7 linked regions of the Callithrix jacchus genome follow. The protein of the gene in region 2 purifies or fractionates together with the protein of the main gene of each other region. This does not show direct contact. Links are inferred from orthologs where the notes say so. Each region holds a gene or a part of one and is shown on either strand. Other genes may lie near its edges.

Region 1 (4,279 bases), on a different chromosome or scaffold from region 2:
ATGTAGTTTTTACTTTCCTATCCCTGTTTCTTACTTCCCACGTCTCAGCGTTTTTCGCTTTATCAGGCTGAACCAGCTCACCAGGTTCAACTCCTGTGCCAGCACACCTAGACGTGCTTAAGGGATGGATGACCCTGAGAACGGAAGGTCAGCAGCATACACATTGCAACTACGGAAGGCAAGGAGAAAAAGAGCGGTGTAAATAGGATTGATGGGGAGAGAGGTCAGAAGTAGGTAAAACAAATGAAGAGAGAATGCGAGGATGGAGGCTGTGTCGGATTGGGGGTAGGCTTGACCACCTTTCAATTTTTTTTTTTTTTTAATCAGACGAGGTCTCGCTCTGTCGCCAGGCTGGAGTGCAGTGGCAAGATCTCGGCTCACTGCAATCTCTGCCTCCCAGGTTCATGCGATTCTCCTGCCTCAGCCTCCAGAGCAACTGGGACTACAGGCACGTACCAACACGCTCGGCTAATTTTTTGTTTTTTTAGTAGATATGGGGTTTCACCGTGTTAGGATGGTCTCGATCTCCTGAACTCGTGATCCACCCGCCTTGGCCTCCCAAAGTGCTGGGATTACAGGCAAGAGCCACCTCGCCCGGCCCACCTTTCAATTTTCAACCCAGTACGACTCTGGTGGCAGGTAGACGCTCCACGTCCTCTGCGGAGAGCTCTCGGGTTCTCCCGGATTCCTAAAGGCCAGCAAAGGCCTAGAGCAGGTTCTCTGAGCATCGCACATAACCTTCCACTTCGCGGGGTTGTTGTTCCTGCGCCCAGGTGTTCCTCAGCCTTCCTCTCCTCGCCCAGGAAGAGGCTGTGGGGATTACATCATACCAACCCGAGCAGCATGGCCAGGTTTTCCATCTCCAACTCTTGCTCCAGAAGCGAACCGGGATGGAGCGCTCAAGTTTCCCCGTCAGGGTTGGCCCTGGCGGGGGGGAGGGGAGCGGGTGGCACGCCGGGAGGAGTCTCGTTCTAGCAAAGAAGCTATTAAATGACCCAAGGCACGACTTTTTCTCGCATTCACGAGCTCCACCTACACAGGAACACATGGCCACCCAAGCCCGTCGCTGCGCCCAGACCTCCGGCTCAACACACCCGACAAACTCTGTGCAGAGAAACCGCAGCGCGGGCTAGTCGGCGACCCCGGGAAAGGAAAGAGGTGCGCGGTGCGGAAAGCGTGTACCCGAAGGCGCTGCGCCTGCGTAGTGGCTAGGCAGCGACTCCCGAGGGGCGTGCTCGTAACGCCGCGCACCCTATCAGGCGGCCAAAGGGAGCGCGCCGCGGCCTCACCCCCTCTCGCCCCTCCCTTCTCCCCTCTGGGTTTAGCTTCAGACTGAGGCTTGGAGGCCGGAGGGGGCGCTCCACTCTCCACCCAGGCGCGCCCCACGCCCTCTTGTGCGCGTGCGCAGAGGCGGACCGCAAGGCGAGGGCGCGAGGGAAGGGCGGGCGTACGTCCTTGCGTGCGTCTCAGGCAGCGCGCACGCTGGCGTGAGAGGGCACGGGGGAAAGGTGGCTCTGGCCGGGGTGGCTCGGCTTCCTGGGGCTATGTAGCTGAGCCCGTCGACTTGGGGGTTCTTCTTCGCTGTCCTCGCGGCGTGCTAGCGCAGAGTTTCTGCTCCGGGGAGAGACTGTACACACGCCCGCCGCACCTCCTCGACGGCAGAGCAAGCTTGCTCGCCCGTGGGAGCGTCCCGGCCGAGAAACCCTGAGGGGGGAGGGGAGGCCATTTTGTCCCGACCGACTCCCCGGAACCGGGCGGAGCGGCTGGGAGAGGCTGCGGAGCTGCGGTCGCCGCCCTCGGAGGCACTGGACGGAGGCACTGTCTGGGCTTCCTCGAAGCTGTTCGTAGGTCGCCCGCACCCTCTCGAGCTTTCCTTTTTCCCACGCTTCCCCGTCCTCCGGCCTGAGAACGCCCGAGTGAGGAGTTGGCTGTAGTGAGAGGGACCGATCCCTTGGGGCCGCCGGCGGCGAGAGCCCGAGCCGCTCCTCCCAATGGCGAAGAAGACGTACGACCTGCTTTTCAAGCTGCTCCTGATCGGGGACTCGGGAGTGGGGAAGACCTGCGTCCTTTTTCGTTTTTCGGATGATGCCTTCAATACCACCTTTATTTCCACCATAGGTAAGACCTGTGGGAGGACAGTGTACGGTCTCGGTAGCTGCAAACCTTTTATTTTACTCCAGACATCTTGCTTCCCGTGATATACGCCTTTGTTTCGGTGATTCCGATTCCAAACGACAGACCCAAGTTACTGTTTGAATCGGTATGGAGCTTACTGGGGCGGGGTCTTCCATGCTTTCCATCCGGCCTTTTGCTTTCAAGTCTCCCACTATGCTCAGTGCCTTCGGTTACAAAATATGCATCATTTAACCACGTTCCGGAACCTTATTTCTTCAGGACTGGCTTTTTCCACATTTGCGTGGAATTATTAGATGTGTGGTATATGTAAGGTATTTATTTCAGTGGTTGTGATAGAAGCAGTACTAGCTATTTGGGAAAGGCCTGAGTTTATACTCCGGGGCAAAAAGAAGATTCCATATGGTCATAACTTAGAGTAAACTTGAGGGTTTGTGTGTAGAATAATTAAGGCAAATTAGAAGGGAAAAGTGAGTTGTCCTCCTTGACTAATCCATTGATGTGTCAAACAATCGGAGGCCCTTCGCGCTTGGGGTGGGACTCTGGCATATTTGCCTCAGTGCCTTTTGAGACATCAACAGAAACAGTAATCTGAGGGAGATATGATCAGTTTCTGTCCTCAAACCCAACAGAATGAAGTCAAGTTCTCTCTTCTGTTTCGACTGTAGTATTTACAGGAAAGTATTTTGCCAGTCATAGCCCTAAGGACTTCTAATGTACTTTCACCACGTTTCAGAATTACTTAGTGTGGAAGTAAGAGCTAAAGAGTGACCTTTTAAATCGAATTTCCCATTTAGGAAAGGAAAAGGGAAGGCTCTAGGAAAGTCCCTTTTGAATCTGGTTAGAAAATTTAGTGGCGCTGATGCTAATTGTGCTAAATTAATTGTGAAACTCATCCGATCCCCAATACATTTCTTCAAGACACATAGCTGCCTCTGTCACTTGGAGCCCAGCACTCAGCATTGTGGCGGTGTAGTTTAACCCATTTTTAAATGTAATTTTCTATTGAGACGATTTTAAAAAGCAACTGCAGTTGTCTTTGAACTCTGGGAATTGTTAAAATTAAGCTGATTTGAAAGAATTTATAGCGTTACTGAAATAATTTGGTTTGGATTTTTGTGCGTGTGTGACAAATAGCTGCTTCATTCTCACAAAAGAAATTACACTGAAATTAAATTGGACAAGTGGTTTTTTAAAAATAGATTTTTATTTTGCTCACCCTTTTTGGGTGGAAATTACAGTTCTTATTTCCGGAGTATCTTACTGTTCTCTTGGTCTTTCACAAATTTCATGAAACTTAGAACTTGTTCTCTAACTTCTGGGTTAGAGAACACTAGCACTTAGCGCTAGCACTTACAATGCACTAAGTTTGCTTTTAACACTCCACTTTTAGCTGTAGTTGGGTGGGGTTAGGTGATCAGATGGGTCAGCAAATATTTACTGAGCACCTAATGCTTGGCACTATTCTTAGGCACTGGGAATAAGTGGTGAACACAACAGACCCCTCGAAGAGCATTCCAGTGAGGTCAATCATAACAATGTGGAAGGTGCTACAGTAGTAACCATAGGGAGGAGGACTGGCTAGCCTAAATCGTGAGGAGTCTGAGTAGGCTTACATAGAGATGATATCTAAAATGATGAAGTCTGAGGGACTAATAGGAATTGGGTCAGAGGGGTGAGATAAGGCCTTTCTGGAAAAGGGAACATAGAACAAACGTATAGTAAGGTTGAGGATTTAATTCATGTGGTCAACTTTATTTTGAGACAGAATTTCGCTCTGTCACCCAGGCTGGAGTGCAGTGGCATGATCTCAGCTCTCTGCAGCCTCCACTTCAGGGGTTCAAGCAATCCTCCTGCTTCAGCCTCCTGAGTAGCTGAGATTAAAGGTGCCCACCACCGTGCCTGTCTAATTTATGTATTTTTAGTAGAGACTGGGTTTCACCATGTTGGTCAGGCTGGTCTTGAACTCCTGACCTCAAGCAGTCCACCGCCTCAGCCTACTAAAGTGCTGGGATTCCAGGGGTGAGCCACCATGCCCAGCCATGTGGTCACCTTTAACCTGTCATTAGGAACAGTGGTGGATGGAGAGAATTGGAAGCAAAACATTGTCTACTCCAATGTTTTTGTAAAGGGTACATGCCCCCAT
Region 2 (4,170 bases):
TGCACTGCTGCACTCCAGCCTGGACGACAGAGCGAGAGTGTCTCAGAAAAATTTTTAAAAAGGGTATTTCATTAATAGAGGTAGTATGACCCCCTGATCACTTGAAGACAGCAACAGACGGACCTTCTTTAGTCATGATCTACTTAGCCAATAGAACAGTTACACTCACTTGCATAATCAGTTGCATGGCCAACTTTGCACTAATTCATTTGGTCACAAATATACACAATCAAATTAAGGCTGAACGTAAATTTAAACTTCACTTTTGCTTTCTTCTCCCCTCCCCCACCAAAAGGTCCATGGTCCAATATAATATACCTTCCTCATGGGTGAGAAACGTTGTGAAAACTTGTTTCATTCTTTCTTCAATCGGAATGATTTAAACATGAAGTTCGGTCTATCAAGGCATGCTCTGAATAGCTGCCATAGAGAAGTACTTGAATTCTTGAATACCAAATCTTTATTGTTTGCTGACTACGCAGATTTATCACGCGCTGAAAACACAGGTTTTCCAAGTATCAATGCCTTTGGGAAATTCACCTGCCTAGGCTTTCGTGGGGTCTGCTTACACCTGTGTCCTCACTGAAGCTAGATTCCTAACAGAATTCTAGAAAAAGGGAAGAGCGGGTAGAAGGCAAGCAAGGAGCAGTTTCTTACGGCCTAAACTTTGCACACCAAGACCAGCTACGACATTTACAGCGGCTTTAAGTTACAGTCCTCGGTAGGTGCAGATTGGCTTCCCAATGAAACCTGGCCTTCACTCTCATCTAAGGGTTACTTTTTCAAAAGAAGCCGCTTTTCCTCCTCCCAATTTCCTAAGGCACCCGCCCGGCAAAGCACCAAACAGGGAGGATACAGGGCGGGAAACAGGACACGTGTGATCTCCGAACTCTTCCCGGCGGGCTCCGGGCCCCGGCGAACCCAGCCCCGCGGAGGAACCGCGGCCGCCACCCCCAAAGAAGGCCTGGCGCGCGTTCCTCGCCCACGTGCACACCGCACGCGCCCGCTCAAAGTTCTAGGGCGGCGGTCCAGCTCTGGGACCTTGGACCGTGCGAGCTCCCGCCCCGACGGCGGGGGTCAGGAGCGTGGTGGCCGGGACCTGTCCCCGCCCGCTGTTCCGTGCACCTCCGCCCCAATGCGCGCGCCGCCTCCCGGACCACCGTGGCAGAAGCTGCACGGAGACCGGAAGCCAAAATGGTGACGCTCCACCCGTTTCCTCTCGCGAGAGGCGGGGAAGGAAAAAGTTGAGCGAGAGACAAGCACGTAGCCAGTGAGAGTTACGGGAGTGCCTGATTGGCGGCCCTCGCGGCGCCTGCAGGCCACGCCCCGGCTGCGGAGGCTCAGTCACCGCCTTCCCTTCCCACCCCTCCACTCCCTGCTTAGTTCTGTTCCCGTCTGAGGTGGCGGCCGGTCTGCCTTCGTCGCCAGCTCCATTTTCCTGTCCTCTCTCTTCCTCTTTCCCTCGCGCCCGAGAGCGCTTCCAGCCTCGGAGGGTGGTCCCGGAGCTCCTGCGCCTTCTCCTTTCTCGGGTCCTGCGTCCGCGCCTGCCCCGCCATGAATGAGGAGTACGACGTGATCGTGCTGGGCACCGGCCTGACGGTGGGCGCACCCCTGCCTCCTGCACGGCCCGCGGGTCGCAGGTCCTCGGGGGTCTGGTTCTGCCGTCAGCCGTAGTTTTCCTGACGGGAGTCGTGGGTTGGGGGCACGGGCGGCTTGGGGGCGCCCCGCGTTCCGGGGCGAGCGGGCGGATCCCAGTGTGAGGGGCGGGCGGGGAAATGGAGAACCCGGGCCGCGAGGCTCGGGCGCGGGGTAACGGCCGAGCCCTGGCGGCTGCGCTCGCTGCCTGCGGAAGCGGAGGAGAGGGAGAAACCCGCCCGGGCCGAGGCGCCAGCGCCCTGCTTTGGGCGGGTGACCTCTCGCGGTTGGAGACGAGCACCCGAGGCTGAGGGGCGGTGCAGGCCTCGCTGTGGCGTTTCCTACTCGGCCTCGGCCGCTGCCCCGGGTCAGTCTGGCTGCCAGAGCCGAGCACGGCATTTCGTGACAATTCTTGGATAGTAACTGATTCGGAACTGCCAGGGATTGACAACTTCTATTTTTGGAGAAGACGCAGAAATCAGTCTTTTAATCCTTCCCGCCCCCCCCGTGAGAAGGATCACGGAATCCTTCTGGCCACTCTCGCTTCCACTGACTGAGCATCTGTAGAATGGAAATTGAGATTTTTCCAAACTTGTATATCAGATGCTCCCGCACCTGACCTCCGCCGCCTTCTCCTTTTGTTTGGTGGGTTTCCTGCCTCCTTTGTCTCTCCTGGACTCTTCCCTAAGAACTGGATTGGTGATGGATTGCCAGAGGCCAAGTTCTCTGTACTCCGGAGCTTTCTTTAGGGAGTTGGAAGATAATATGAAGAATGCATTGTGATACGTGAATATACAAGGTGTACCTAATAATGTGGTATATTGATTTTCCTGATTATCTGTCTGCTCAGAGAACTTCAGATAATCTGCAGATAATGCAGGCAGGCGCTGTAGTTCGTACTTTTTCTGTTTTTTTTTTTTTTTTTATGACTGTTCATCTTGCAAAAAAATTCGATTTGAAAAAATATTTTAACAAAATTATGGGGGAAATTTGAAATTATGCTTGATCATGATTAAGATGAATACCGATGTGAATCTTGTGTATCCTATGTACTCTGACCTCAAATTCCTGAGTCATTTAATGTAGACTTAGCCTTCAATATTTTTGAAATTTATTATAATCTCTCAGGATCAAACTAATAGTTTTCCCCCCACAGGCAACATCTCCAAATAATTTTCGATGTCTCTAGGCAAGAGAAAACCTTCGAACTTTTATTTGGCAGTTTTTTAAGGAAAGGTTTGTTAATAATCAGAATGGTGTTTTTCTGGCCTGTCATTTTTCTGTTTATAGTTATATGCAATTATTAGAGGTTATTCTTTCCGAATACTTTGTTATGTTTGACCAGTCCAGGAATAATCCTGTGACGGTCTTGGAGAAGCTGGAAGACTGTTGGATGGCCAAGTGAATAGGCCCTACCCATTGCAGGTTTTGTGTGTGTGTTTTTCTAAGTGCCTGATTGGGATTCCAGGCTGAGCTTAGCAGTATGTGGTGGATTTTGCACGTTGGAATGGGTAGCGTTGCTGCCAGCATGTTGTAAGAGCCGGATAGTTGCACTGTTTTTCTATGGTGGTTGATGGTCTTTCAGATTTGCTTACAAATGAGGTCAGTTGAGCATGGACAAGTGAGTGCAAATCCACCATCATGCAGGCTTCCACAAGCCTCGTTCACATCACATTGTATCAAAGATGGTGAAACAGTCTTTTTATATAACAAGTTAAGATAATGAATGCACTTTTAAAAAATTTTCATTTGAGATGTGAACTCTTTGATGAATGATGGATGAATACTTAACTAGAAATCAGACCCATTTCTGCTGTTGTTTTGTGGCTGTGATAACTTTAATCTCTGAGCCTTCCTAAGTTTTCTGAGATGTTCTTTGATACATCAGTCCAGGACAATCACATTATTAGCATCATTGATAGGAGTAATGATGACAGGATGATTTCGATAATGAGAAATCTTATATCCTTACTTGTAGTGATACCAGGAATTAGACGACTACAAAGTAGAAGAAGAGAAAACCAGTTAGCCCTCAGATTAGAATTAACTTTTGAGTGTCTGGAGTTAGTTTTCTCAAAATTTACTTTATACTTAGTGCCCGAGATTGAAGAACCTAAGAAAAGGCAGGTACTTTCAGTGCTAGAAACTTGTTACTTTTAAAGAAGTGAAGAAGGTGCTGGAGTTTTGTGTTGCTTAGTGCTGTAACTGTATCAGTTGTTAAGTCCAAGCTCACAGTCACAGATGCTGATAGTAATGCTAATAAAGAAGATACAAAATGATTTGGTATAAAGGAGTAAAATCTTCATTCTGTGTGTAAAAGAAATGGAACATTCCACGCACTTGAATTTTCTAAGGAATTCAGGGTTATCTCTGAAGAGCCACAGGTTTTGGATAATGCCTTTCTAAGTGCTGTCACAACGTTTTTTTGTTTTTAAACAAACGAAGAAACAATTTACTCGATAGATAACTTAAGATTTCACATCATGAAGATTAATGATTGTGTTAAGCTGTAACATGTTGAAGTTGTGAAGACCC
Region 3 (4,115 bases), on a different chromosome or scaffold from region 2:
GAACAGCCACTCAATCCTTGGTCTATAAAGAAAACCCAGAGGTGCCCTCAGCCAACACGGAATCGCTTTTTTTTTTTTTTTTTGAGACAGTCTCGCTCTGTTGCCCAGGCTGGAGTGCAGTGGCACAATCTCGGCTCACTGCAACTTCTGCCCCCTGGGTTCAAGCGATTCTCCTGCCTCAGCCTCACGAGTAGCTGGGACTATAGGCAAGTGCCACCACGTCTGGCTAATTTATGGAATTGTCTTTAAGCATTGAGAGATTCTGCTTCAGGATTAGACAGCCCAGTGTGCCTAGGCTTCCTAAAGCATACCCCACCTCCTGCCATGCGTGCACAGGGACACACAAAATCAAGGAGCACTGTTAGGTTGGCTAAGCTCCACAGTAGCGCTCTGCCCTACACTCCTGCTGGGTTTTATTAACACGCCAAATTTAATTAGGAAGTGCAAACTTTATGAGACCTAAGAATTATGAGGCCTGAACTTCAAGGTCACGGTGAATTAGACTTTCCTAGAAGACAGAAGGCTACAAATGGAAGGAGCGGAACGCTGGGGTGGGAGGGAGGGATCTTGGGGTCACCTTGCTAGGTTAACTTTCACCAAGTCATATCCTCATCTGCAAATGGAAGATGGCCTCTTTAAAGCTTTAAAGTAACTCTAAAGAGGGGGTTTGAGGGGAAGGTGCTGAGGCTAGGAAACTGGGAACTGGGTAAATGCAAGCCACAGTCTGCCCACAGTTGTATTCTTTTTTTTTGAGACAGGGTCTCGCTCTGTTGCCCAGGCTGGAGTGCAGTGGCGCCATCAGAGCTCACCGCACCTTGACCTCCTGCGCTCAATCCACCCTCCCACCTAAGCCTCCTAAGTGGCTGGGTCTACATGGGTGAGCCACTATGCCTAGCTAATTTCATTTGATTTTTTGCAGAGATGGGGTTTTGCCCTGTCGTCCAGGCTGAATTAAAGCCACTTTTTGATTGGCTGGGGCACAAGGGTTACCCTAAAGCTTGGCCTTGGAGTGGGGGAGGGGGAAGAATTCAGAAACATCTGTCTTCAGAGGGTGGAAGCTGTCACCACAGGAGCCATTCATTTGTTTTCTCTAGATGGCCTCTGGTTGTGATGACAACCCCTTATTGTCTAATTCTAGTCCTCAACCACCAGGGCACTAGCCCAGGCAGACAGCGTCACTCCTGCTCTGAAGACAGCAGGGGTCAGAGAGGGGTAGTGCACGTTCAAGGGCCAGCAGCAACTAGGAACCAGACATGATGATTTCCAGTTAATTCTCTCTACTTTACATCTGGCATATAACTGTTTCATAAAGTGCAGCTCCTCGAGGGGGGCAAGAATGGAATTGGCACATTATCATGAGATTTAGGGAGATAACACGATTCTGTTGAAGTCACACATAAAGCAAAGGCCATTCTCTATGTTTTCTTGACTTTGAATAAACTCCTTGACTTAGTGACCGTTCCCTCACTATCCCCATCCCTAGCAGGGCTGCAGAGCTCACAGGCCACTCTGATCGGTGTTACTCCCAGGTCTAACCTTTTCATCGTGGGCCAGGACTGCTTCTGTGGCGCTGAGAGAGGTCAACTCTACTTCTGTGGACATCACAACTGAGACATCACAACAAGCCAATTTTGTTCAACCACGATGTGGGCTGGCCCTACGGGAAAAGCTGTTCTAAATTGACAACCGGTGTCCTGGGCCCTTTGATAGGGAAGTCAAGGCTGTCTGTGGCAGTGGCTGATTTAGTTTCTCATTGAGGGTTTTATCTTGCATCTTCTTGGGGATGACAGGTCCCAGGGCAGGCAGCACTGTCACTTGCCATTGCTGTCATCCTGGAGCAGGATAAAAGGCAGGCAGGGAAAAGGTCCTGACTCCTCTTATCATTTCTTCTAGAGGAAAATACACTTATGGGGGAAAACATGGCAAGGAGAGGGACTCAACCTCTGGATGCTCCAGAGAAGAGGAGGAATGGTGTGAGTTAGAGTCCCGGCTCCAAGGTGCATTAACTGAGTTTGTCATCAGCCAGGGGTGTGTGGTGCTAACTCTCTAGAAGAGCTAAGCCTCGAGTTTTGGGGTGAGACACAGCCAGGATTAAATTCCATTAAATCCCATTCTCACCACCTGCAGACTGTGTGGCCTTGGATAAGTCCCACGCCCTCCCTGAGCCTCAAATTACTCATCTGTGAGACGGGCTCATAACAGCACTTAAAACACCGAAACTAGAGTGTGGAAATGCACGTGAAGGACTTGGCACATAGCAATTGCTCATTAAGGCGACATGTCACCGTCTTTTTCCCACAGCCAATTCCTCATGACTCAGTTTCCACCTCTGTAAGACAGGAACCGCAAAAGAACCGCTTCGAGGGCTGCTGCTAGGACAGACCGAAAGGACGGGTGCGAAGACGCCTGCCCAGGACATAACACTCCCTAACGAGCGGGCTGAGGATGGGAGCCTCAGTCACCCCATCTGCAAAATGGGCACCTGGTCTCCCCCGCCACGGCCCATGAACCCCGAAACGGCGGTGCAGGCGGCTGCTCTTCTCCCTTCGACCCTCTCAGAGCCCTCGGCCCGCCCAGCAGGGTAGATTTCTCAGCCCCAGCCCCTCAGGGGCGCGCCCAGCCCGGGCCTCCGGCGCCCCTAGCCACTCCCGGATCCCGCTACCTATGGTGGAGATAAACGTGGAGTTGAAGGCGTCCTCGGAGAAGCGGAACAGGACACAGGTCTTCCCCACCCCCGAGTCCCCGATCAGCAGCAGCTTGAACAGGTAATCGTAGGTCTTCGCCATATTACACTCTCTCCCCGACAGGAAGTGCAGCTAGCGCCTATCCACTGGCCACCAGCCCCGTCCATCAGCGCCGAGCCCGCCCCTTATTGGCTCCAGGCCCGCAGCGTGTCACCGCGGCCGACACTCGCCCCTGAGTCCCGCCCGCCGCGGGGAGACCTGGGGAGGGGGCGAGCGTAGCGCGGAGCCGGAAGCAGCCCGAGCGTACCTCCCATTGGCCAGCACTGATATGAGGACGGGCTCTGATTGACCAGCAGTAAAGAGTCGAGGGGCTTCAAAGGGGGACGAGACGGGGGCGTGGCATTATGTGGCCCCTGCCTCCACCACAGACTCGGCGGCCCGGCCCCGCCCCAAAATGGGAGAGGGAAAGCAGCGAGCAGCGCCAACGGCTCGCGCGCCGACAGTCTGTGGGCGGGGCTTGGGGTGCGTGCGCACGCGCACCCGGAGGTCCGTTAGGCGCCAGCAGAGGGCGCACGCGCATAGTTGGGGAGGGTATCTCTGGGTCTCGCCCTCACAATTCGCGCAGCCTCAGTAGGCGCCGAAGCGAGCGCGGGAAAGGACTGAAGAGCTTTTTTATACGTCTGTGGTCTGCCGGGGCAGCGTGAGCCGAGGGAGGAAGGAGAGAGGAAGCGCTGTATAATCGAAAAGTGACCCCCGAGGCGAGATCCGAGGTCTCGGCTGTGGCTTGGCAACCTGCTTAGAGATACCCAAGCTCTCCGCCACCTGAGCGGCGTCACCGCCACGAGCTGTGCCCCAAGGCGCGCGCCGTCCCCCTCAGGGCCCGCCCTCGGCCGCCTTAGGGGTTGTCCGGGCCAGCCTTGCGGGTTAGGGCAGTGAGGATGCTGGGTCCTATCTAGGGTCGGCGGTTCTGTGTCTGGTGGTCCTCTCAACATTGAAAAAACAGACCGTCGCGGTGGCTTCCGCCTGTGATCATAGCGCTTCTGGAGGCCGAGGCGGAGGATCGCTTGAGGCCAGGAGATTGAGGCTCCACTAGCCTTGATTGCCCCACTGCACTCCAGCCTGGGCGACAGAGCGAGACACTCGAAAAAAGAAAAGGAGGGATACATTAGGAAAATCGGGCTTGCAGCCGGGTCTGGTGGCTCATGCCTGTAATCCCAGCAGTTTGGGAGCTGAGGCAGGCAGATCACTTGAGGTCAGGAGTTCGAGACCACTGCATTCCAGCTTGGGTGACAGAGCGAGACTCTTTCAAAAAAAAAAACAAAACAAAAAAACTTAAAAAAAATTAGCCAGGTGTGGTATTGCATGCTTGTAGTCCCAACTACTCAGGAGGCTAAGGTGGGAGGATCCCTTTAGCCTTGGAGGTCAAGGCTG
Region 4 (4,085 bases), on a different chromosome or scaffold from region 2:
CAAGCTGGTCTCCAACACCTGGGCACTTGCAAAGTGAAAGCAGAGAAAGAGTAGACTTACTCCAGAGGCAGATGGTATGCAAGGCCATTTCAGAATACACATAGAGAAAACAGGAGAATAGATTGTGAGGTTTTTGGGGAAAGAGCCAATTTTAGTTGAAAAAGGGGGAACCCCAGACAATGTACCATCTCAGGCTTGAGACTGCTCGCCTAGCTCCTAAGATTTTTTTTTTTTTTTACCCAGGCCCTTCAACTCCTGAGATCTTATCGAGAAGCTGCTGATAGCCAGCTTTGGGTGTTTCTATCTATTGGGAGACTGCCTCTCCCCAGGTCTGGCTGCAACCACTTATTGTTTTAGAGTGACAGCTTAACAACCACCTGACCACTACCTGATGGTTGCCTCACATTGCTGGTGGGGGAGTGGCCCATCTCCTGCCCTGCTCAGGTCTGACTACTTATCTACTGTAACAGTTGCAAGGTTTTTGGATGGAACAATTGAAAGAATGGAGTTTGAATGAACCAAGATAAAAAATGACTATGAAAGGGCATTGTTGAAGATGTGGACAAAAGTTCTGAGTGGATCCTGATGTGTTCAGATGGGGCTGGTGCTTGCGAGGCGGCTCCATGCTTGCAAGAAGAGTTCTACTAGGTCCATCTTTGTCACATCTTCTTTAAGACTAAGTTCAGAGAGGCTTAGCTATTTTTCCATTTTTGTGGGCTGTCTCTTCTGCCAGACAGTGTCTTTCTTTTAAGTGTCTCTATCGCCGAGCCACACAATTGCTGTAGTCATTTACAGTCTACTAGAACGATAACACACATTGGCATCAGACAGACCTTGGTTCAAAACCCTGCTCCACCAGTTTCTGTGTTGAGCTAGACCAAGTGACCTGATATGCTGGGTCTCAGCTTCTTATTTGTAAAATGGTGATACTAATCTTTGCTTAAGTGGTTAAAGTAAGGATAAATGATGCCTTCCGAAGAAGGACACAACTGGAATGGCCAGTTTACCCCTCGTCCTCTCTTCGCTGGCATTCTTTATTCTGTAGTAAGGACGGATGGCTGAGGGAATCCGTCTGCGGGTCCAACATGGCGCCGTCCTGCTTCTTGTACGAACCTCAAAGATGGGGACTATCTCCTGGGAGCAGACATGTTTGTAGCACGTGACCCAGGCTCAGGCACGAGGCAGCCGGAACGTGACGCAAGGTTGAGGCGGGGCTCCACCTCCTCACCCTGGCGTCGAGCGTCTCGTGACAGGTACTTCCGCTCGGGGCGGTGGCGGTGGCGGAAGTGGGAGCGGGCTTGGAGTCTTGGCCATAAAGCCTGAGGCGGCGGCAGCGGCGGAGTTGGCGGCTTGGAGAGCCCAGGATAGTTCGCTGGAACTGGAACTTGGACTTCCCCGCTTTTGTCCTCCGTTGAGTCTCCTCCTCGGCGGGAGCCCTCGCTACGCGCCCGGCCCGGAGCCCCCAGCGCAGCGGCCGCGGTAAGCAGCGGGCCCAGCCCGGCCGGCGGCCTGGCCCCATCCCCCTCTTCAGCCCCTCGGTCGCCAGGGCCTCGCGTCCTCCCTGTCCTCCTGGGCAGACTCCGGGCCCAGCCCTGGCCTCGCGGGGAAACTCGGCATCGCTCAGGTCCCTGGAGCAGGCCCGGACCCCGCCCGGCTTGGAGAGGTCGGAGGTCGTCGGGTGTGACCTCTGGCTGGGTTTCCGACCCCGGCCGCCAGTCTCGGACGCTCTGTTTACTGTTGGTGTCGATCTCAGAGACCCGAGAGGGTTCCCTGACTTGGGCGGCCCTGCGCCGCGGCAGGACGCGCTAGCCGGTGGAGTTCCTTAGCGCGGCGAGACTGAGGGTGTCGGAGCCCACCCCGCCCGCCGCTGTGCCCACCTGGCGGGCATGGGTCACAGGCGCTTGGGCCGAGCCGCGCGTTCTCATCCGGCTCTTCAGTTGAACAGCCTGACCCTGTTAGTGGGAGAGGTTCCCTGACAGCAACTGAGTCAGGGCAGTGAGTCAGGTCACGTGCGCTGGGCTCGGCTCGGTACTTGTGTACATTGAGGTGCCTCTGGCGCTGGGAGACGGGGAGCTTTTTGTCATAGGCATGTTACGGTAAATCCTGAGGTAAGTTTTTCAACTTATTTGAGGAAAGATGGTAGTTGGATGCAGAGTTGTGTTTCCATTCCGACCGTGTTGGGGGCCTCTTTCTGCATTCATTTTAGTCTTGTTACCTATGGTTCATAAGGGGAATATTGAGAATACTGACAGCAAATATTTGAGCGTTTATTGTATGTTAGGCAGCGTGGCAAGACCTTTTAATAGATCATTATGTTTACCCTTTGTTGAAAGAAAACATAAATCCTCTGAAGTACCACTGTTGTGCCCACTTAACAGTGGGAAGTTGAAGAACAGAGAGGTTAAGTCATTGGACCAAGGCCACACAGCCAATAAGTTATGAAGCAGAGTTTCAAGCCGAGGCAGTCAGAGTCCAGAGCAGTGTATTCAATTTCTAGGTTATACTGCTTTCACTTGCCCCCAAAGCTTGTGGTTTATCTTTTGCCACCTGGTATCTGTACCTCACTGCCTCCCACCACCTCCTTTCTTTCTGTTGATGTCATTCGAAAGTCTTTCATCAGTTCTACCTTAAGGCTATAAGAAATGCCATTTGCGACTTATCACACATGTTGTGGTGTACTATCACCGAATTAGGAGCTCTTGAATACTGGCAGGGTACTTAATTGAGGTTTGAAAAATTTTGCACGTAGGCCTGGCAAGCCTGCTTCGTGAACCTTTCTTACAACCTTAGTTGATGGCTGTCCAGCCAGTTGGTTCTTTACTATTGAAAATACTGCATCTTTAGTTTCCTAAAGAACAGGCTCTTGTCTCTTCCTTGTGACTTAAGCAGCTGATGAGGCACATGATTTCTCATCCATGGATTAATAAAATCTCCTCTTAGTGTGTTTCTCTCTTCTTACTTGGGAAGGTTTGTTCAGATTTGAGTGTAAGAACTGGAAGGTGAGTTAGGAGTACTTCTGAAGGGACTGGCTAAGCTAAAGCTTAGTGTTCACAATCCTGTTGTATTCAAATGTGTCCTTTTTTTTAAACTTTGCTACCCAGCCTAAAATATTTAAGTGAGTAATAAGTACTGTAGCTTTATATGATGTTTGAGTTTAGAGGAGAGTAATGATAGGCACCTTTTTATTCGTTCATGAAGTATTTTGAGTATTCATTGAGTATCAGCAATGTATCAGGCATTGCGGGATATTGACTCAGGGAGATAGGCATGGTTCCTGTCCTCAAGGAATTTTTAAAAGGTGAATGATCTTGGCCAGAAATTCTGTTGTGGAATGATTTGGTGGCAGAACTCCAGGCTTTTTGAAAGAGTTATTTTCTCTTCTCTGCTGATGAATCAGTAGTAATCCAAAGGCTGGTGTTCTGGCTAACTTTAAGACTTCGTTAATTTCAACAACAGCATTTGTATATAAGGCTTGCTCTCCAGAGAGTGTAGAAGATAATATTACAGTTTCTAATTAATCTCATCTTTTAAAGAGTAACCTTCAGCACTCAACTTGTTTCTCCTTTTGCTCTAGTGGCATTTTATTTAATTTTTTTTTGAGATGGAATTTCGCTCTTGTTGCCCAGAGTGGTGTGCAATGGTGCAGTCTCAGCTCACCACAACCTCTGTCTCGCTGGTACAAGCAGTTCTTCTGCCTCAGTCTTCTGAGTAGCCGGGATTACAGGCATGCGCCACCATGCCTAATTAATTTTGTATTTTTAGTAGAGGTGAGGTTTCTCTATGTTGGTCAGGCTGGTCTCGACTCCTGACCTCAGGTGATCTGCCCGCCTCAGCCTCCCAAAGTGCTGGTATTACAGGTGTGACCCATCTTGCCTGGCCAACTCTAGTGGCATTTTTTGTTCACTCAAGAGGTAGTCTGTGTCACTGCCATTAATGTTGCACTGCAGTGTCTTTGAGCAAAGATACATTTGGCGTGCTGGATTTTTTTCTTCAGCTGGGAAGAAGGTTTAATGTAGCACTGATACTGTACCAGCCATAGTTTCAGTACCATTCTAGGTAGAAAAGCTGTGCTGCCCTATCTTCCA
Region 5 (4,168 bases), on a different chromosome or scaffold from region 2:
TTCTGTGCCATATACCTGATGGGAGTGCTTTGCATTTAGAATTTAGGACAACTCAGTAAGAGAGGTACCTCTCCCCTACTGTATGAATGCGTCAGACAGGTCCAGAGAGGCTGACCAGCTGAAAAGAAGAAAATGTGAGGTCATACTCTACAGCTGTCACTCCTCAGTAACCCAGACCTGCCTCAGACCACAAAAGCTCCCTCATGGCTCTCTAGACACACGTATCTGAAGAGCTCTATTTGGGGGTGGGGGAGGCAGGATCACAGCAGGAGGTGTCTCACCATCAGCCGGGCGTGGTTGATGTTCCAGGTGAAGGTGGTCATGGTCTGATTCTGTGGGTCCACAATAGAGTCCTCCAGGATGTACACCGAGTGAGCAACATTGGCAGGAAACAGTCGCTCGGCCCAGCGAGGCATCCTGTTGGTCTTGGTCAGGAGTCGCCGGGACAGCAGTTTCTGGTCAGGGGTCACCTCCCGGTGTACTATGTCTTCCGTCAAGACATGTTTGCTGCAGGAGTCAGTGAAGGTGGCACTCAGGAGCCTGCCCCGAGACTGCCCGAGGGGATTCCCGTTTGGAATCTCCAAGCCCAGAGAGGCCTTCCTGTAACCTTGCAGAGTTGTATGTGTTATGGTTCACACCAGAGTTAAGAGCCCATCCCAGGGCAAATTCCAACTCCCGCCATCTGGCTGACCTGGATTCCTGGGCCTTCCAGCAGCAATAGACCTCATGATTTACTGCACCTCAGGAAAGTGCCACGAGCAGAGGATAGGATTTCCGACCCCAAGATCCCTCCCAACTCCCCTACTGCCGCCCCTTCTTGTCTCACGACCCTGAGAAAAGAACCTTATATTAAGATATCAAGTAAACCACCACCCAGGCCCAACCTCCCTTCAGGACCTTGCAGGCCTGGCCTGGCCGCTTCCCCGATAAGGTCTACGTAGGATTAGATGTCAACTTCTTTCTGGTCCCATTACTCGGGGATTATCCATACTTTGATCTCCAAATAGCGAGATGGTGGGGTTTTGCTCTCCCAAACACCACGTACCTATAGGGATTCGGGTACCGCTGCCAGAAGGCGGCGAACACTTGGTCCCAGGAACTCCGGAGCAAGCTCTGGCCCAGGAAATACTTCACCATCGTCCCGGCCGGAGCGGGCTCAGCACCCACGCAGCATCAGGGGTGCGGAGCCTGGGAGGCACGCGGGGGCCGGGCCGGGCCGGGGCTCGGCGCACACCCTCCGCCAGGCTCGGGGCTCAGTCACCACCGCACCGCGCCCTAGCAGCTGCCGCCGCCGCCGCCACCGCCATGAGTTGTCCGGCTGCGCGCCACTTCCGGCGCAGCCACACGGTAGCCACCGCTTCCGGCGCTCGCGCCACGTGACGTTGCGGCCCCGCCCCCTCTCCCTCTCGCCCCCTCCCGCGGGAGTCGCGGCGCTGCGGGTAGAAGCCGGGTTGCCGGAGACCCTAGGTTCGATTGGTACTCGAGCCGGAACTGAGTCTAAGCCCGCAGGCGAGCGAATGACGGAGTAGCGAGCTGCACGGCGGCGTGCTGCGCTGTTGAGGACGCTGTCCCGCACGCTCCCAGGCCGCCCCGGGGCTTGGGGTCTTCGAAGGATATTCGGCGCCCGGGGCGGAACAGCGGGGGCACACTGGGAGCTGCCGAAAGTGCAAGGCCACGGCCAGAGCTCGACCCCATCGCGCTGTCTCGAATCGTTGGTTGGCGCCGTTTGGGGTTGGGGTCTGAGGCCTGGGCGCTGCCTGGGCCGAGCGGAGATCCGGGTTCGCCCCCGTCCCCGCTCAGGACCCTGACGTGGCTGAAGCGGCCCCGGGAGCATGAGCGGGCAGCGCGTAGACGTCAAGGTGGTGATGCTGGGCAAGGAGTACGTGGGCAAGACGAGCCTGGTGGAGCGCTACGTGCACGATCGCTTTCTGGTGGGGCCCTATCAGAACGTGAGTGCACCCAGAGGGGCCAGGCACGGTGGGCGGGGGCGTAATCTGCACCTATGGCCCCAATCTCTTCCCTCTCGTTGCAGACCATCGGGGCCGCCTTCGTGGCTAAGGTGATGTCGGTCGGAGACCGGACTGTGACATTAGGTATTTGGGTAAGTTCCCTGGGCATCTATTCTAGGGAGTCTCATTCTTGAGGAGGCTTAGGTCCTGCCTATTACTGATTGATTTGTGGCCTCACAGACTCGTTTCTCATTGACCCGTTTCCTTATCTGGAAAATAGTGGGGTCTGGAGAACATGGCCTTAAGTTTGACTCAGACCAGGGCTGAGCCTGTCCCTCCTCTTTAGGACACAGCAGGCTCTGAGCGCTATGAGGCTATGAGTAGAATCTACTATCGGGGTGCCAAGGCTGCCATCGTCTGCTATGGTAAGGGGGAGTTCTGGGCTGGCCCACAAGAAGAAGTGGGTGCCAGGCTAACCAGAGAACAGCCCCTGATCACTTGGTTGTGTCTCCTGCATGCCCCACACCAAGACCTCACAGACAGCAGCAGCTTTGAGCGAGCAAAGTTCTGGGTGAAGGAACTGCGCAGTCTAGAGGAGGTAGGTGAATAGACTTCACCAGAAGACCAAGGGCTAGGGTTCTGTTGGTCTTTGGAGGTGACGCTTGTCTTGTGTGTCAGGGCTGCCAAATCTACCTATGTGGCACCAAGAGTGACCTGCTGGAAGAAGACCGGAGGCGTCGACGTGTGGACTTCCATGACGTCCAGGATTATGCAGACAGTAGCTGTTCCTCACCCTTTGGGGGGTGGGGGTGTGTGGCTGTCTGGGTGGATCACAGAAAATAGGGACTGCCTTGGCTGCTAGGGCAAGGTACTCTAGAAGGGCTTCCTAGCTTCCTTGAACTGTGGGGTCCAGGAGACTCCCTGAACTGCTAGTCCTCCCTTTTGTCTGCTTATCTAATTCTCAGATATGAGGCTTTAGTCACTTCTCTTTACAGATATCAAAGCTCAGCTCTTTGAAACATCCAGCAAGACAGGCCAGAGTGTGGGTGAGTGCTGTGCTGGGGCCTCACACAGGAACAGGCAGGGGCACCAGAGGAAGCTGAATAGGGAACAGAGGGCTGGGTCACTGGGAGATCCCAGGACTACTGGCATTGGGCCCTCATTGATCATCATTTTTCCTGCCAGATGAGCTCTTCCAGAAAGTGGCAGAGGATTACGTCAGTGTGGCTGCCTTCCAGGTGATGACAGGTGTGCTTCCCAGCCTTTATGGACTTACTCTAGGCCCACAGCATCTAGCCTCTTTTCTGAATTACCTGATCCCAAGAGAATGGTGCTGAGCAGCCACCTCTTTCTTTGACAGAGGACAAGGGCGTGGACCTGGGCCAGAAGGCAAACCCCTACTTTTACAGCTGTTGTCATCACTGATTCACCACTCACCTGGCCTGGGAGAATTAAAGGAGTTCCCCAGAGCGGCTGGACCCAGTTCCTTACTGGGCTTGGGTAGTCAAATGTCTGAGCTAACCCAGGTCCTCATGTCAGCAAAGGTGGCACCTGCCTGTGCTGGCCCATGGAACGGAGGCAGCATTGGGCTGACTGTGGGCATGAGGAGGGATAAGGGCTTATTTGGACCCCAGGCTTCTGCCCTGGACAGCACTTGTGTCTGCAGATTATTTAAGTGGCTTCTGATCTGTAAATAAAATCAATGCACTGTGAATCACACCCAGCCCCTTTCCCTGCTGTGTGAATTGGGTGTCAAGACACCCAGTTCTTTCTGGGGCCACCCAGCTGGCCTCACTGGTTTATATTAAGGTTTTCCTATCTCTCATTTTCCTTTGGAAAACAAGACTTCTCCCCAGGGTTACAACTGAGATACTGGGGCTGGGGTAGTACAAAGCTCACAATTCCTTCCGAGTGCTGCAAAGCGTGTGTGAGCTGTGTTGAGATAAAAGGGTCAAGCATTTTATCCAGGTTGGTCTGACCAGCTCTACTGCATCTGTCATGTTTGGGCCCATATGTCAGACCTGTGACTCAGGTCCTGAGCATCCCAGTGACATCCTACAATGCGGTTTAATGGTAGAAAAGTCCTAAGTTCTGTAAGACAGAAAGGTCTAATGGATCCAGATTTGGTTCCAATTTAGAAAAGGGACTTAAACCCTCAGCTTGAGTTTATCATCTGTAAAATAAGGTGACTACTACACAGCCCAAGGATTGTGAGATCC
Region 6 (3,952 bases), on a different chromosome or scaffold from region 2:
TCCACAAAACAAAGAATTAGCCGAAGACAATAAATAATAAAGGATTAACCTGAGTGTAACAGAATGCTGTTTCCCCCCTATATTTGTCATCAGTTAATTGAGAGCCTACTGAAGAGTGATGAATATTACCATCACCGCCAACAGTTCTACGGTGCCTTATGGGTTTCGAAGAGCCTTCACGTTTAGCATTTCATTTAATTTTTCACTAGAATCCTATGAAGCATCTTGTTTCATATCCATTTTACAGTTAAGAAAACTGAGATGTACAGTGCCTGCGTGACTTGTCACAGCGGTTAAGGCGCAGAGCCAAGACTAAATTCAAATCTTATTCTGTAAGTTCCCGTGGCCCGGTTCCTGCCTCACAGGATGCTTGCAGTTTTATGGGGCACAGACCTGTAGCACAAGGCTTCCCAGATTTAAAAATCCATCCTCCTCCGGCATAGGGGAGCGATCAGCGTAGCAGATCCTCTAAATACCCACCGTGTTTGGCTCTGGTCTGTGTGGTTTGAAGAAAGAGGCACGAGTGAGGTTCGAGTTAGCACGGTAACCATTCTTTCCCAGCTCTGTGACTGAGGAGCTGCGGGTGGGGGATTACAGTGGTGCTGGGCATGGCCTGGGAGAGAAGCTGGATGATGCACTCTGCAGATAACCCGTAGGCTGCGCCACAGCAGCGCCAAGAAAAGAAAGCATCTCTGCTCCGGGTCTCCGCGGAAGAGATGCGGGGACTACGGGTTTCTGATTCTGAGGTCCTGGATTTACAAGGCGCCCGCACACAAAGAAATAACAAAGTTCAGTTCCGGCGGCTTGACCAGCAGAGTTCGAAACGAGGTCTCCCTTCCCTGCTCCGGTGGAAACGCCCCCACGCTCTCACCCCGCCCACAGCAGGTCTTTTATCCACTGGAGCCGCCAGGACAGACCGCGCGGGGCACGCCCGAAGCTCCCCGGAGGAACTACAAGTCCCATGAAGCCTCGGAGAGCGGGCAGTGATGACGAAGCCCTCGCAGATTGGCAGTGCAGGGCGGGGCGCGCAGGCTTTCTCCGAGTGGAGGGGCGGGGAGCGGGGCGGGGCGAGCAGCGGCCGATTGACGGGCACGCCCCCTCGCCCGCGGCCCCCTCCCGCCTCTCTCCGCCGCCTCCTCAGGCTCCCCGGTCAGAGGGCCGGAGCGAGAAGATGGCGAAGACGTACGATTATCTGTTCAAGCTGCTGCTGATCGGCGATTCGGGGGTGGGCAAGACCTGCCTTCTGTTCCGCTTCTCAGAGGACGCCTTTAACACCACCTTCATCTCCACCATCGGTGAGGGAGGGGCTGCGGCCCGGGACCGGAGAGAGAATTGGGGGGCGGGTACGAGGGGATGGGAAGCGGGCGGGGGGCGCTTGGGAGCCCGGGAGAGGAGACCCCGGGGACTGCAGGGTGGCTGGGGTACTGAGAGGGGCGAGGGCGTGAGGGAGAGGGGCGAGCGGAGACCTGAGGCAGGGGCGAAGGGGGAACTTGGGGGCAAAGGAAGGGGAAGGGGAACAGAGGAACAAGGAATTGGGGGTTTGGGGGAACGGGAGGGTTCGGAGACAGGGAGGGGTCCTAGAGGGACAAAATGTGTTGGGGGGAAGATGCAGGAAATCTCATGTAGGGAGAGAAGGGGATCGTGGACGCGAAAATGGATTAAAAGACAAGAGAGGAAGGAAATGTGAAAGGGGGAATGAGAGGGACGTGAAGTAAAGGGATAGACGACACCAGGGACAGAGAGGTGAGAGCCAGGCAACTGGAAGGGAATTCAGGGGAATGAGCGGTCGGGAGGCGAGGAAGAAGGGGGACGCTGGTCACAGGAGGTCTGGACAGAGATGTCGTAGGAGGGGCCAGAGGAAAATTGCAGGTGGAAGAAGAGTTCAAGGGACCTTCGGGCGGAATGAGGATACTTGGTGGAGAACGTAAAGGAGAGATGGGTGTGAGACGGAAAGGAAAAGCAGAAGCAACATCGTAGTAAAGGGAGGTTGAGCAGCGAAGACGGAAGATGGAAAAGGGAGGAAATGGAAAGTAGTAGTGTGCAGGACGAGTTCCAGCAACTGATTACCATTTTCTCTTTACTTCCTTTGGGTCAAGTGCAGGAGAAAGCAAAACGTGACTAATGATGGAATTATGTCTATAGAGCGTTAATTTGTTCTGTGATTGTTAACGGATGTTAAGGGAATTGGTGACTTTTGGAAATGGTGTGGTCAGGAAAATATGGTCCACCTTACTACCATCTCCTGAGAAGCAAGTCTTCTCGGTATCTTAAGTCCTTGGGTTTGAATGTTTAACAACTTCTCAGCCAAGGAATTGATCTTACATTCTGCCCACCTCCCGCCTCCCTGTATATTTTGCTTTGATTCTAATTATTGTTAAATGAATCACAACATGTGATATACCTCCCAGTTACTTCCAATTGATTCAAGAGTTTTTCTGATCTTGGCTGGAGCTCTCCTTCCTACTTTTGTACTGAGAGACACTGTGTTCAGGTAAGAAGATCTCTTAACTTACTATAAACTGAAGGGTTTTAAGCTCTTAGAAATGAACACCTTAGCATCATTTTCTCCTGTTAAATAGCTGCGGATTAATTAAGTACCTTAAGAATCTCAGCTTTTGGTTGTCTTGGTGATATTTCTGGCCTCTAATAATAGCTTATTTAGGCGTCTTTCATATGGTTCTTACAGCATATTTCACCATGAATTTCTGGGTTGGGAAATAATAGGGAGCTAGGGCTTTGGTAATACATGTGTTTACATATTTGTGTATTTTAAAGGGTAATTTATCTTTTTGTAAAACAGAGTATTCGATATAGAGCACTCTTTAAGTATTAGAAAAGACTGGGGTTTGTTTGTTCATTCTGGTGTCTTTCATATAGATTGAATGGTCTAAAACCTCCTATGATATCTGGGCTTAGGGAAGTTTGAATTGCAAGTTCTTGGCAGTCAGTCTTGAGTGGGACTTTTTCTTTTCTGAGAAAGCACATTTTAAATGTCATCTCTCAAGTAGATGCCTAAGATTTGGTGGTAGCTGTTGGTACCGCAACTGAAGGGCGTTAAGTTTTAACACATATTAATTACAAAGCCTCAAATCACTGTTTTTCATTGTTGAATGCATACTGCAATACAGATGATAAAGGATAATTTCTAACAAGTTGAGTGGGCGTCCTTTTGTCCATTCTGTGTTTGATCCTCCGAGGAGCATCTCCTGCCTTGAAAGTAAGTGAATCTCACTGATGCTGTTTCTCATAAGTTTCTTGGATGACTTGCTTGTTTGTAATATTTTTATTCATTTTCTCTATTTTTCCTTATTTTTTTGTCCTGTGTTTCCTGTAAGGATGTCTGCTTCCTTTTAAAATAGTAGCTTTTAAAAATTACTTTCATTTTGAAGGATTCAAGTCTGTGAGTCAATTAAAAAAAAATGATGGAAACGAGGCTCTTTGGAGGCTTAATCGCTATGAAGGTGTGAAAAGCAGCGTCCTGAAACAGGTTGGAATAGGAAGTGCTCATTAAAAGGAGGTGAATCGCATGGGAGATCTGGGTCTTTATATTTTCTCTGAGGTGGATGTGGTAAAAAGGCTGTGAGCTGTGTCTTCAGTTGATGTGGAGGAGGGGAAATCCCATAACTCTTATTTAGCCCTGGGGCTCCAACAGGAAGTGGTAGCACACTGTCTTCAGACCGCAGAATTTATATACCTGAAACCTAATGCTCTGCAGTCAAAATTAAGCTGGGAAAATAAGGTGAATGTTAGCACCATTCTGGTTCCTCAGAGTCTTCACTGCTTACAAGTATAGATTTTGGGTGTTCAAATCTCCGGCAGCCACTTCCCCAGGCCTCTCACCTCATTCCCAGGTGATCTGAAGTTGTTGAGGTGACAGTTGGTGGACCAGCTCCTCCCTAGTCATGAAGTACCTAGGTCTGTAAGTTCCTGGGCTCTTCTGACTGGGTTTTGA
Region 7 (4,143 bases), on a different chromosome or scaffold from region 2:
GGGAAGCTCTGATGACAATTTATGTGGAGGATGGAGCCAAACTGACTCAGGAAAAAAAAAAAAAAAAAAAAAAAAAGTATGTACTGGCATTTTCCACACAACCCAGGTCACTTGGGAACTAAGCCAAGGATATTTTGAGCATTCAACTACCTATTGTGAACAAGGCTGGGAACTATGAGGCGCTACGTGGCCCTGATCATGCTCAGATGGGCCAAATTATCAACCAAAATTCTCTTTCCCATAAATGTTTATCTCTACATTTCCCACAGAAGGGGATTCAAACTCACTTTTGCTTCTGAAACCAAACTATCCAAAGCCAGGTGAGATGACTCACGCCTGTAATCCCAGCAATTTGGGAGACCAAGGAGAGAGGATGCTTGAACTCACCAGCTCAAGACCAACCTGGGCAACATAGTGAGATCCAATCTCTACCAAAAAAATTAAAAATTAGCACGGTGTAGTGGTGTGTTCCCCTAACCCTAGCTACTCAGGAGGCTGAGGCAGAATTGGCTGGGCTGGGCTGACAGAGCCAGACCCTATTAAAAAATAAAAATAAAAATTCCTAAATTTGGAAACATCCCCAACTGAGAGCCAAGAGATACGTCTCAGCCGTAACCCAGAATCCTGTAATACGGGATGTGGAGAGGTTACTGTCTGTAGGCTTGTGGTGACCCTTCAGCACCTGGGCACCTTGCACTTCTGTGGATCCGCCCACATCCGCTCAGCTCCACCCAAGAGGGTCGGGCAGTTGGGAGTGAAAGCTTAGTAGCTTCCCAACAGGTGAATGAACCTGCCTCCCACTCCCAGGGCGGCCTCTGGCCGTACACCTGGGGCCTGCTGCCTCCTTGTTACACATTAACCAAGTCTGGCCTCGATAGTAACACCGTCAGGGAAGTTTCTTCCTGGCTGACAGCCACAGATGATGAAGGTGGACAACGTCTTAACGGAAACGGGCCAATTTGGCAAATGGACTGCTTTCCTCTCCAGTGCTGGCACCTTCCTCCTTTGTCCGGCAGCTGGACCCCACTGTCCTCAGCCCTCTGTCACCCCAAGCCTGCCCACCGCCCGCCTCTCCCCGACCTTCCCTGCGGGAAATCCGGGCTCAACCCCCAGATCCCGCAGCCGCAGCTCGGCCCGCCCGGGCGCACACCGCCAGGCGGCCCAGGCCATGCACGTGCTTGCGCCGCGCGCCGAGGTCCCCGTGCGCCCCGCCCAGGCTTCCCCGTGCGCACGCGCAAACGCAGGCCCGGGCTGGCGGCGGGGAGGGGGCGGGCCTCGCGTAGCCCTCCTCCTCCCGGTCGCGGCCGGACCGAGGGCGGAGGGCCCTGCGCCTGCGCGGAGCCGGAGTCCGGCTGGACTGCAGCCGCTGGGAGGCCGGCGGTTGCCGTGGGGACCGGTTGGGCCCCTCCCTCCTCCGGTCCCCCTCCCCAGGGCCTTCCCCACCGCGACACGCCGGCGGACCGCGGGCGAGAGCAGCCGGTGACCCGGCGAGAGGCGGCGCCGCTCCAAGATGTCGCAGACGGCCATGTCCGAAACCTACGGTACGAGGCCCGGGCTGGCCGGGCGCGCGGGTCGGGCCTCGGGGGGCGTCGGCGACGCTGGGCAGGGCCTGGGCTGTGGGGGTCTTGAGGGTCTTTGTGGCACCGGCCAGAGCCGGGGGACGGATCTCCAAGTGTCGGCGCTTGGGACGGGGATGGGTGCGCGGGCCGCGGGGGGCTCGGGGTGGGGTAGCGGGTGTGCGGGCGCGGGCAGGGCTGTTCACAGCGCACTGGCGTGATTCGCCTTTTCAAGTTTCCTCCTGCTCTTTCTCCGCGCTTGCACTCTTAGCGTTTTCCCCTCCGTCTAATGTAAATAACTGAAGGTTTGGAAAGCCAGCTTAATGTTCTGTTTCAGCTGCGATATTATCCCCAGCGAGCGGTGTGAAGGGCTTGGGGCGACGCCTGTGCTCCTCAAACACTCCAGTTTGACCTTTCCTGGTTTGGAATTCCTTGCTTTACGTTGGGATTACAGTGAGGAGTTATTGATAGACGAATTCAGCTCTTCCTCCGGAGACCTCTTGCTTCGTTTATTTCTCCCTCTCTCTCAGTGGTTTTTAGCCTTTTCTGGGTTGCATTTTGGCTATTTATGAACATGTCTTGTCTCTTGTCTCCTTAAGACCGTAAGCGCCTTGGAAGCAAAGTCCTGGCTGTTTAATCTTTGTTCCCCTGCAGCACTCAGACCTGGAGGTGCTCGACAAATATTGTTTTGAATAAGCGAAAGCTTTCCCAATGCATATACTGTGTCCTTCCTCTCTCCCTCTCCCTCTCCCTCTCTCTCTCTCTCTCTCTCTCTCTCTCTCTCTCTCTCTCTCTCTCGTCTCTCGCCTTGCGTGGCAAGAATAAACAACTTGTACTTTGTATCAGGGTTGAATATTTATAGAGGTTTACCGGTCCCTAATCACTCTTTCAGATGTTAGTTTTCTCAGATTAAGACTTTGATTTGGAGTTTTAAAATCCCAGAGAGAGGCTCAAGATCAAAATTACATACCTCAAGCCAAATTAGTCCTGTCTCCATCTGTCCGGGCGTGCTGCTTTCCTTCCCTGCAACAAATGCTGTGGAATGGCATTAGGGAAGCAGGCACCACGCTGGGAGGGCTGTAAGTACTGCAGAGACACGGCTCTGCTCTCATGGAGCGTACAGTCTGTTGAGGGAATGCAGTATTAATCCAGTTGTGATACTAATGAGTGAATAACTTAAAACCAGGCAAGAGTTCTGAAGAAATGTGGTCTGCGAAAGTGTGTTAGAAACAAAGTTGACCCAGACAGGGGTGTCAGGGAGGCATTAACCAGGCAGCACACAGAACATCTCAGGCCTGTGGGAAGGGCAATTCCAGAAGGGTGTTTCAAGCATTACGCTGGGGAGATGGATGAGGAGGCAGAGAGAAGAGGGCCCTGAGGAAGGCGTCAGTCTGTCTCCTAAGAAAAAAAATGAGAACTTTTGGAAGGGTTTCCGTGCTGGAGTCACAGTGCATTTGGTCCAACATAAGTGAGTGACTCCTGTGACTGGTACTGCCCTGCTCTTGGTGACACAGGGGCATGACATCTGTTCCTAGAAGGCTTAGGATATCTTCCAGTAAGTCGATGCCTTCATCATGACAAGTGTTTGCAAATGCTTCTGCAAATGACAGTGGTCTGGTTCTTCCTGTAGAGAACCACAGTCAGAAATGTAAGGAAAACGTACTCTTTAGCAATTTTTGGTTACAGCTTTGCACTTCTTTCAAGTGCTCTTTAGCTCACACTTAGTTTCTTTAACCTGAGTAAGGAGCAGGGAGCACTAGGGAAGGGTGGAATGTCCAACTAAGAAAAGCAAATGGGGGTCATGAATCAGTAAGAAAGGACTGGAAGAGTTCAGGAGATAGAGCTTTTAGTGCTTCATTTTTCATAGACACAGCCGATAAAATAGAGCATATCTTTGGCATCTCCACTTCAGACACAGTTAACTGAACTTCTCAGCATCACAGATTGACTGATTAAATTCTAATCATAAGGCTTTGACCATTAGTATTCTTATTTCATGGTAACTTTCAAATATATTTTTACTTTCCAACTCTGAATTGAATTTTTTCTTCTGATAGAGGAAATTAAAAACTAGTAGGAACTAATCAATAGAAAATGAGGCCAGACAGGATGGCTCATGCCTGTAATCCCAACACTTTGGGAGGCCGAGGTGGCCAGATTAGTTGAGTTCAGGAGTTTGATACCAGCCTGGCCAACATGTCGAAACCCCATCTCTATTAAAAATACAAAAAATTAGCAGGATGTTGTGGCACACTTGTAATCCCAGCTACTCAAGAGGCTGAGGCATGAGAATTGCTTAAACCCAGGAGGCGGAGGTTGCAGTGAGCCAAGATTGTGCCGCTGTACTCCCACCTGGGCAACAGAGTGACTCTGTCTCCAAAAAAGAAAGAAAGAAAATGAGTTTTAGAGAGAGCAAGCAGGACAGCTGAAGTTTGCCAAGCTAAAGTAAAAGTCACCTAGAACCAAGTCCTGAGCTGTCACTTTCACTTATCATTGGCCATATTTATACAGCATTGTTTCTTAAAAGTCAAACAGTCAGGCTCCCTTCTGGACTTTTGCCTCTGAGCTGGTGAAAGAATGTTTGCCT

The links.
Region 1: the proteins of GDI2 (region 2) and RAB10 purify together in Homo sapiens (co-immunoprecipitation; 3 studies listed by BioGRID and IntAct, with this or other methods). This does not show direct contact. The link is inferred for Callithrix jacchus from reciprocal best matches to the Homo sapiens genes GDI2 and RAB10.
Region 3: the proteins of GDI2 (region 2) and RAB8A purify together in Homo sapiens (co-immunoprecipitation; 5 studies listed by BioGRID and IntAct, with this or other methods). This does not show direct contact. The link is inferred for Callithrix jacchus from reciprocal best matches to the Homo sapiens genes GDI2 and RAB8A.
Region 4: the proteins of GDI2 (region 2) and RAB7A purify together in Homo sapiens (affinity purification with mass spectrometry; 3 studies listed by BioGRID and IntAct, with this or other methods). This does not show direct contact. The link is inferred for Callithrix jacchus from reciprocal best matches to the Homo sapiens genes GDI2 and RAB7A.
Region 5: the proteins of GDI2 (region 2) and RAB24 purify together in Homo sapiens (affinity purification with mass spectrometry; 3 studies listed by BioGRID and IntAct, with this or other methods). This does not show direct contact. The link is inferred for Callithrix jacchus from reciprocal best matches to the Homo sapiens genes GDI2 and RAB24.
Region 6: the proteins of GDI2 (region 2) and RAB8B purify together in Homo sapiens (affinity purification with mass spectrometry; 3 studies listed by BioGRID and IntAct, with this or other methods). This does not show direct contact. The link is inferred for Callithrix jacchus from reciprocal best matches to the Homo sapiens genes GDI2 and RAB8B.
Region 7: the proteins of GDI2 (region 2) and RAB4A purify together in Homo sapiens (co-immunoprecipitation; 3 studies listed by BioGRID and IntAct, with this or other methods). This does not show direct contact. The link is inferred for Callithrix jacchus from reciprocal best matches to the Homo sapiens genes GDI2 and RAB4A.

Annotation. Positions count from the first base shown.
Region 1 is NC_133515.1:88,923,384-88,927,662, forward strand, and holds the start of RAB10 (ras-related protein Rab-10), read left to right. Parts: upstream 1-1,479; 5' UTR 1,480-1,991; coding exon 1,992-2,118; intron 2,119-4,279. UniProt on the Homo sapiens protein: The small GTPases Rab are key regulators of intracellular membrane trafficking, from the formation of transport vesicles to their fusion with membranes.
Region 2 is NC_133508.1:7,972,771-7,976,940, forward strand, and holds the start of GDI2 (rab GDP dissociation inhibitor beta), read left to right. Parts: upstream 1-1,370; 5' UTR 1,371-1,554; coding exon 1,555-1,599; intron 1,600-1,828; exon of another isoform or gene 1,829-2,238; coding exon of another isoform or gene 2,239-2,280; exon of another isoform or gene 2,281-2,434; intron 2,435-4,170. UniProt on the Homo sapiens protein: GDP-dissociation inhibitor preventing the GDP to GTP exchange of most Rab proteins. By keeping these small GTPases in their inactive GDP-bound form regulates intracellular membrane trafficking.
Region 3 is NC_133523.1:14,726,577-14,730,691, reverse strand, and holds the start of RAB8A (ras-related protein Rab-8A), read right to left. Parts: upstream 2,801-4,115; 5' UTR 2,787-2,800; coding exon 2,663-2,786; intron 1-2,662. UniProt on the Homo sapiens protein: The small GTPases Rab are key regulators of intracellular membrane trafficking, from the formation of transport vesicles to their fusion with membranes.
Region 4 is NC_133516.1:73,420,041-73,424,125, reverse strand, and holds the start of RAB7A (ras-related protein Rab-7a), read left to right. Parts: upstream 1-1,285; 5' UTR 1,286-1,479; intron 1,480-4,085.
Region 5 is NC_133503.1:68,847,358-68,851,525, forward strand, and holds RAB24 (ras-related protein Rab-24), read left to right. Parts: upstream 1-1,408; 5' UTR 1,409-1,832; coding exon 1,833-1,949; intron 1,950-2,032; coding exon 2,033-2,101; intron 2,102-2,295; coding exon 2,296-2,374; intron 2,375-2,479; coding exon 2,480-2,547; intron 2,548-2,627; coding exon 2,628-2,727; intron 2,728-2,944; coding exon 2,945-2,995; intron 2,996-3,134; coding exon 3,135-3,187; coding exon of another isoform or gene 3,188-3,197; intron 3,198-3,309; coding exon 3,310-3,453; 3' UTR 3,454-3,668; downstream 3,669-4,168. Other genes in the region: PRELID1 (PRELI domain-containing protein 1, mitochondrial), read right to left, coding at 282-507, 1,046-1,137.
Region 6 is NC_133509.1:10,007,295-10,011,246, forward strand, and holds the start of RAB8B (ras-related protein Rab-8B), read left to right. Parts: upstream 1-1,152; 5' UTR 1,153-1,171; coding exon 1,172-1,295; intron 1,296-3,952. UniProt on the Homo sapiens protein: The small GTPases Rab are key regulators of intracellular membrane trafficking, from the formation of transport vesicles to their fusion with membranes.
Region 7 is NC_133520.1:21,262,660-21,266,802, reverse strand, and holds the start of RAB4A (ras-related protein Rab-4A), read left to right. Parts: upstream 1-1,343; 5' UTR 1,344-1,510; coding exon 1,511-1,541; intron 1,542-4,143. UniProt on the Homo sapiens protein: The small GTPases Rab are key regulators of intracellular membrane trafficking, from the formation of transport vesicles to their fusion with membranes.